Linked DNA regions of Tribolium castaneum. The protein of the gene in region 2 purifies or fractionates together with the protein of the main gene of each other region. This does not show direct contact. Links are inferred from orthologs where the notes say so. Each region holds a gene or a part of one and is shown on either strand. Other genes may lie near its edges.

Region 1 (3,126 bases), on a different chromosome or scaffold from region 2:
AATCTAATGGATTGGATTTCACACAATCGAAACAAACCCCTCGCATCATAAAAATTGAATTTGTTGCGAGTTGAACGACCACGTATTTGAATATTTCATATTTTTATAATGGTATCAATTACGCAACGTTATCGATTCGCCACAGATAAAAAAAAATCTCGTTTCCAACAGTGTTTTAACGTTAATTATCTTGAATGTTGTTTGGTCACGAGCTATGGCAATGGCGCCACATTTACTTCCGCTTTATTACAAAATTTCGGTGCAAGAAAGTAAATACGTTTTTCGGTGAAAATTCAGGTCAGCGATTATTTCCAGCGAAAGTTCAAAGGGTCGACGGATAAGAAGTGCACTTGGCAATAACAAAATCGGGGAAAAATACCGAAAATTGCAGAATTGTTGTTTTTCCTTGAGTGACGTTTCGTGCTGTAATTACCGCAGTTGATGCAAGACTAATTTTCGGTTGAGGAAATTTTCCGGTGACGCTTAATTTATCGATCGAGGGAATATCTGTTTTTGATTAAAAAAAAAAAAACGAAATGCCAGTGTTAAAATATTAAGTGGAAGCGTGGAGAAAGTGTGACTGAATAATGCACGAAGGGATAACGAAAATTACAATTTTAAATTGGTCAAAGGATGAAGTTCACATTTTATCATCGTTATCTGTTGGAACGACTCGTAAATTAGTTGAGACGGTTCAGGTCGTGTTAATCGAGCGCGGAATAAGATTGTGAAACAAGAAATTGAATGAATCATGATTTTGACGCAATAATCGCCAGCAAATCTTGACAGTAATAAAAGCCTAGTCGTGAATTGTTTTGCTTTTTATGAACGAACAAGTTGGAAAAAATCTATGATGAAATTTACTAAAATCTAAAAAAAATATTCGTTGTTGTGGTTTAAATAAAATAAACTGAGCGATTTGAGACAAAATAATTTCTTTGGAATTTTTTTTTTGTAAAGACTACAATGTTTTACGTTTACATGCAAATTCCAGTTAAACTCTGTCATTAACCTTGGTTAAAAGGTAATTATAACAATACGTGTTATTTTTAAACCCACCTTAATGGAATCTCAATTCGAATAAGACACCAGAGAAAGATAAAAAATTCGAGTGAATTATTCAGTAATCTTATCTGTTTTAACTGTTTGGAAAAAAAAAAACGTACTGGACAAATATGAATATAATTTTATTAATTTATGAATCCACGTTTGCGAACCAACTGCGTTTTGTTGTTTCGATGCGTATTGTTTGGTCCGCCGCACAAATAAAAACACAATTAACGCAATAAAGGCGGAAACAGACATGTAGCAAAACAAGTTATTATTGACGTGATTTGATTATTGCGTAGTAATTTCGAAACCGGAAGATTTACAAATCAATTTTTTCATTTTTTTTTCTGTTAGGACGGGATGAATCGGATGGGTGAAGGCGTTTTGAAATTTTATACGCGTCAATGGGAGGAGTATCAGTTCAGTAGCAAGGTTCTGAATGGTATTTGCTCGTATTTGAATCGACATTGGGTGAAGAGAGAATGCGAAGAGGGAAGGAAAGGAATCTACGAAATTTATCAGCTCGCACTGGTGACATGGCGAGATCATCTGTTCAAACAATTAAACAAACAGGTTAGCCACAAATTCGCGCGGAAAACTATCAATATTTATGGGGAAGGGAAAAACGAGGGGTCATCTACGGCTCACTGTACTTTATTTAACTTCTTTTTTTTTTATTTAATTTAGAAGGTGAGAACAGTTTCAAAATTATCCAAAAAGAACCGAAAAGTCGGCTAATTCAGCAGAAGGCGATTTTGATGAAAGCTTTAATAAATTTCAAAAATATATTTATAATCTCGGAGAGTATGAGTAGCTGAAGATCTGGAGCCTTTAGGAAGATTTGACATTTTGAATTTGAAAGATTACACTCCACATGAAGGTCAAAAAAACATTTAAATTTAACCCACTATTGACTCACCCTGTATGTGAATTTTCTCATATTTTTTCTACAATTTCTTAAAATTAATAAATTAATATTAAGGGCTGGTTTGCCTGAATGTTTTTGGTTACAATTTAATGTGAGATCATCCAACTTTTTGGAGGATTTTTTGAGGCTAGCTACAATGTTTTCTACGTAATTTTGACATAAATCAAAATTTGAAATATTTTTTTCAGTCGCTTACGATTAATTAATTTGTTTTGATTGCGTATAAGGAACTTGTAAAAATTTTGAAAAGATTTACTTGCATAGAGAAAAACAGGCATTTAATGTGTGTTTATAATTTTTTGCGATACGGTAAAAATAAACTTATTTTAGCCCACTTACGCTAGCTAATCTGGTATGGAAAAATCCTCAGAAAAATGAAATAAAAAAAATACTTCTGAGGTAATAAATAGAATTATATTAATTTTAAAAGTTTTGTTTTTGCTTTCGTTTTAAATTAGTAAATATTGAGAGTTTGCAAGCCCCTATCCGGGGCTGTCGTTTTTATTTTTCTCCCCCGTTCAAACCAGGTAACAACTGCCGTTCTGAAACTGATCGAACGCGAGCGCAACGGCGAAACAATCAACACTCGTTTAGTCTCTGGCGTGATAAACTGTTACGTGGAATTGGGCCTAAACGAGGAGGAACCAGGGGCCAAAGGACCGAACCTATCGGTGTACAAAGAGAGTTTCGAAAACATGTTTCTGGAAGACACTGAACGCTTCTACCTAAAAGAGAGTAACAACTTCCTAGCACAAAATCCGGTCACTGAATACATGAAAAAGGCCGAACAACGTCTCCTCGAAGAACAGAAACGCGTCCAAGTCTATCTACACGAAACAACAAGCGGCCGTTTAGCCAAAACCTGCGAAAGAGTCCTCATTAAAAAGCACCTCGACATGTTCCATTCGGAGTTCCAGCAGTTGTTGGACGCCGACAAAGACGAGGATTTGGGTCGGATGTACTCGTTGGTAGCGCGGATTCCGGACGGTTTAGGGGAATTACGGACGCTTCTCGAGCAACATATCGCAGCTCAGGGGCTCTCAGCGATTGAAAAATGCGGAGAAAGCGCCCATAATGTAACTAACTGTTACTACAACTCCCAGTTTTTAATAACCTGTATTTAGGACCCGAAAATTTACGTCAACACG
Region 2 (4,325 bases):
ACACAATAATTTAAATAAACCGCCTCACCTCGCTTCGCCTCGCCTCCTGCTCCCGCTCCCCAACTGGACCGTGCCGCTGCTCGCTGTCGACTGAAGCGCTCTCGCCGCCTGCGCCGCACACCTAACCTCGTGACACGTCACGGACGTGACGTCACACAAGCTTAAAACAGTTCATCACCAGAAATATTCAGTGGCAAAATCCGTCAAATTTAAAAACATTCATACACAGAATTATGCAAAATAGAACAGTATTGATCTAGAAAAAGTCATTACACGAAATGTATTTGTCTAGAAAATCATTAACACCCAAATCAAAAACGTAACAGAGGGCGCTGTTAAAGGTAGAAATGTAAAGTCCCTAGATTTATCGAAATGGTTTCCTAAATATTCAGATTTTTAATGGCAGTGGTCTGAAATTATAAAATAATCGTAGTTAATGGAAAAATAAAGACGCATGTTTTTATTTAAACAGAAACTGGCGACGTGAAATTTTCTGCCCTTGCAGAGGATATTTAGGGTAGGAATTTCTACCTTGCATTAAGAATTTCAATGCTACTGCCAAATAGGGACAAAAGTCTCCAGAAAATTTAGCTCTAGAAAAAGTAGGGTTAGGATTGTTGTGCTCACTTCTGAAATGTTAAGTTTTCACTTTAGTGGACTATTTTGTGTGTCTTTCTGCTCTTTTAGAGCGTTATTAATTCTTATTGAATATGTAGGGGCAGATCAATCTACCTTGAATCAAAAACGACAACTTCAGTGTTATTCATAAAAATGTAAATTTTAATAATTGCAAGTCCAAGTTGCCAGAAGGTTGGTTGGTTGAATGACTTTGGTGCAAAGAACGAATGTTGACAAATTAGAGATGACGAGAAAAACACGAATAACGAATGACTGTTTGTTCAATTAGGTACTTTATTGTAAAATTATTAAAAGCACATTGAAAAGCCTACCTTTTGGAACAATATACTTAAATGTATGAGCAGTTGTTAATCTTAATTGCAGTTTTGTGGATTCACTCAAGTATTTCACACACTTCAACAATTATTGATTAGGCAATTGTTTTAATAACACTTTGTTGTCAAAAGTAAAATTTCTTTAATTTTATATCAACTTTTACATTACAAACAAAAACATTTGATAATTACGAAAACTCACAACCAAAAGCAACGCTAGTATTTACCACCACATACTTTTAGATTGACTCGCTCTAATGTAAATACACGCAAAATTGCTAAATATTCATTAAATAAGAAATTACGAAAATTTCGTTACTGTTTTCGGCAAGAACGACATGTCGTCACCTGAGGGCGTCTAGATAATTTTATTCCCGAATTGATGCACGTTTCTGGTAATGAATTTTCTAGATAAATACTGTCATAGGCAGCATCCAGTGCCTAAATAAATAATGTTCTGTTTTGAATGATTCTGTGAATGAATGTTTCTCGGTTTGTGCGATTCTGCCAGTGAATGTTTCTAGGTATGTGCTTTTCTGTTGATGCCAAGTTCTAGACGTAAATTTTCCTAGATCCGAACGCGTCCCCAAAATTAACCACATTTTAGGAAAATATCGCGTAAACTCATTGTTTTTGATCAAAAACGTTGAGGACACGTTGCGAAACCGTCCGAAATACAAGTTTAGTGTTGTTTGTGCGTTTATCAGCTGATTGCATTTTTGCCGGTGTTGTCACATCAGTATCGTTGAAATACGCATTGCATGGTGTCGTTTTACGCGAAAAAGTCGGTTTTTCGACCAGTTGTTTAGTCAAATTCGTAGTGCAAAGCCCCTTATTAAAAAATGTCGGGTACTGTGGACACCTTGGTCGAGATGGGCTTCAGCAAAGCACGAGCGTAAGCCAACACGTCATTGCGGTTCAAATTACCATTAAAATGCTTGCAGTGAGTTAGCAGTTTCCAAAACCGGGACCGAAGACATCCAGGTTGCCATGGACTGGCTGCTGTCCCACGAGGAAGAGCTGGAGGACATGCCGGAGCCCCCGCAAGCCGCCGACGCCTCCGCCCCCGAAGCGCAGCCCAGTCCCGAGGGCCAAGTCGTCAGGTCCTTCAAATGTGACGACTGCGGCAAGCTGTTCAAGTCGCAGGACGAGGTGGAGTTTCACGCCACAAAGTCGGGCCACGAGCACTTCTCGGAGTCGACGGAGGAGAAGAAACCGCTCACTGAGGAAGAAAAGAAGGAACAACTGGCGAAAATCGAAGCCAAGCTCAAACAGAGGCGCATGGAGCGCGAAGCGCGCGAGAAACAGGAGGCCCTGGAGAAGGAACGCAGTCGGATCAAGTCGGGAAAGGAGCTGCTGGAGGCCAAGAAAAAACACGACGAGATCGAGATGAAGAAGCTTGTGGAGCAGCGAAAGCGGGAGAAGGAGGAGGAAAGGCTGGCCAGACAGCGTGTGAAAGAACAAATCGAACAGGACAAGTTGGCTCGGAAAGCGAAATTTTCGGGGCAACCGCTGGAGGAAGCCCCACAAGCTGCTACGCCGGCGCCCCAACCGGCGGCCCCCAAGCCGGCGGCCGGTTACTCGGAGGTTATGCTGCAGATCAGGCTCACGAATGGGTCGTCGCTTGTGCAGAAGTTCGGGGCCAAGGAGCCCCTGAGCGCTGTGAGGCTGTATGTGGAAATGAACCGAAAGGACGGGGAAGGGCCCTTTAGCCTTATGACGAATTATCCAAAGAAGGTTTTCGGGCCTGAAGATTACGATGTTCCTTTAGAAAGTCTAGGTAATTGCAAAACTCCGAAGGACTAAGAAATTTCGAGTACTTTCGGCTCCGAATTATTTTAAATTCAAAACATTCACCAGAACAATGATTTTGTCGAAAATAAACCAAAAAACTACCTAATTTTTTGAGGGTTTAAACAAGTTTGTGACAGATCTTGTATACAGTCACGGAATTATTTGCGAATTTTTGTTTAAAACAGGCTAGCGAATTTTGCTAAACAAGACCTAAAAATCACCAAAATGCTTGGCGCCTCAAAATGTTTTGCAATAGTTTACTGTGAATTTGTATATATTTTGTAAAACTTCGTTAAAAATAAGCGTAGAAATAATCAAATTACCTCGATAATTGTGTATTTTTTGCATTAGTCGGGGCTTTAAACACGTTTTTAAACTTACCGCCCGAAAAATTACTGTAATGAATAGAAAATATATCGTTTTTCTAGTGTTTAGGGGCTTTTGAGATAAAAAAGTTCACTAAATTGGGTCGCAAATGACAACATACTTCGTTTTCCCAAAGATAAAAAAGTCAACCATTTAGGGTCGAATATTTGACCAATTTTTTTTTTTTCATTTTTCGAGCATTTAGCCGGTTTTTGACTTAAAAGCCGCCTTTATTCTTCATGAATTTAGCGCCTCTTTTCACTGTAATTTAATATCTACGACTTTGTTCTTGTATTTTGCTCCTTTTGTACCAGAGATCACAAACTGGCAAAATTTTTGTTGTTTTTAGTGCTCTAATTTTTGTATTCGCTTTTGCGACGAAAACGCCTCCTAATATTTTAGTCCTCCGTTATAACCAATAAAATTTCCAAAAAATACAAGAATGGGTTTCAGGTTTGGGTCCAAGGGCCACACTCATCGTTTCAAAATCGTAATTAGGTCAAATGCTGCACAAACCTTATCTACTCTACCATCGTACGATATTAAAATTGCTTAAATAACGCTGGAACAATAGCTGGGATGTTCTTAAGTAACTAGGTGTAAGTATCTACAAAACTATACAAATTTATGTTGGAATATTTTTTAAAATATACATCATTTTGTAAGCCAGTAGCTGCTGTATAAAAATATGCAGCTCGTTGTGTGTGAAATCTTGAGCAGTAAATAAATTTTTCATATTTCCTTGCCGAGTCGCTCCCTAAGAAACGGTAAATAAAACAACCAACCATCGACCACATTTTATTTTCAATTATTACAATTAATGCTCTCCTGTTCAGACTTAAATCAAAACAAATGAATTTCTACAACTTACCACGTAATTACAAAGACCGGTTTTATGCAAATTAACGAGTGAACTGAAAACCATGACAATTATTCCTAAAATCTAGGCATGTTTCATTTCCCCCCACATTCGTTTTATTTGTGTTCTTAATTTAATAGTTACGTCATTACGAACAATTGATGATTCTTAAAAAAATAAAACTGACTGCAAGAACTCTACTCACGATAAAATTAAACATTACGTAAGTAGAGTTCCTGCAATTTCACGCCTTATTTTGATGCAGGGACTAGGCGGAGTTGTGCAATTGTTTTGCATTTTTACACACGTAATTAATGTGCTTTCATTGAAATATTGAGTTACGTAACTGTAGA

Evidence for each region. Proteins that work in one complex are often made in the same cells at the same time.
Region 1: the proteins of UBX domain-containing protein 1 (region 2) and Cul1 purify together in Homo sapiens (affinity purification with western blotting; 3 studies listed by BioGRID and IntAct, with this or other methods). This does not show direct contact. The link is inferred for Tribolium castaneum from reciprocal best matches to the Homo sapiens genes UBXN1 and CUL1.

Annotation. Positions count from the first base shown.
Region 1 is NC_087396.1:22,572,645-22,575,770, reverse strand, and holds part of Cul1 (cullin-1), read left to right. Parts: intron 1-1,404; coding exon 1,405-1,623; intron 1,624-2,505; coding exon 2,506-3,054; intron 3,055-3,102; coding exon 3,103-3,126. UniProt on the Homo sapiens protein: Core component of multiple cullin-RING-based SCF (SKP1-CUL1-F-box protein) E3 ubiquitin-protein ligase complexes, which mediate the ubiquitination of proteins involved in cell cycle progression, signal transduction and transcription.
Region 2 is NC_087395.1:21,641,223-21,645,547, forward strand, and holds UBX domain-containing protein 1, read left to right. Parts: upstream 1-1,463; 5' UTR 1,464-1,795; coding exon 1,796-1,848; intron 1,849-1,897; coding exon 1,898-2,733; intron 2,734-3,566; coding exon 3,567-3,607; 3' UTR 3,608-3,854; downstream 3,855-4,325.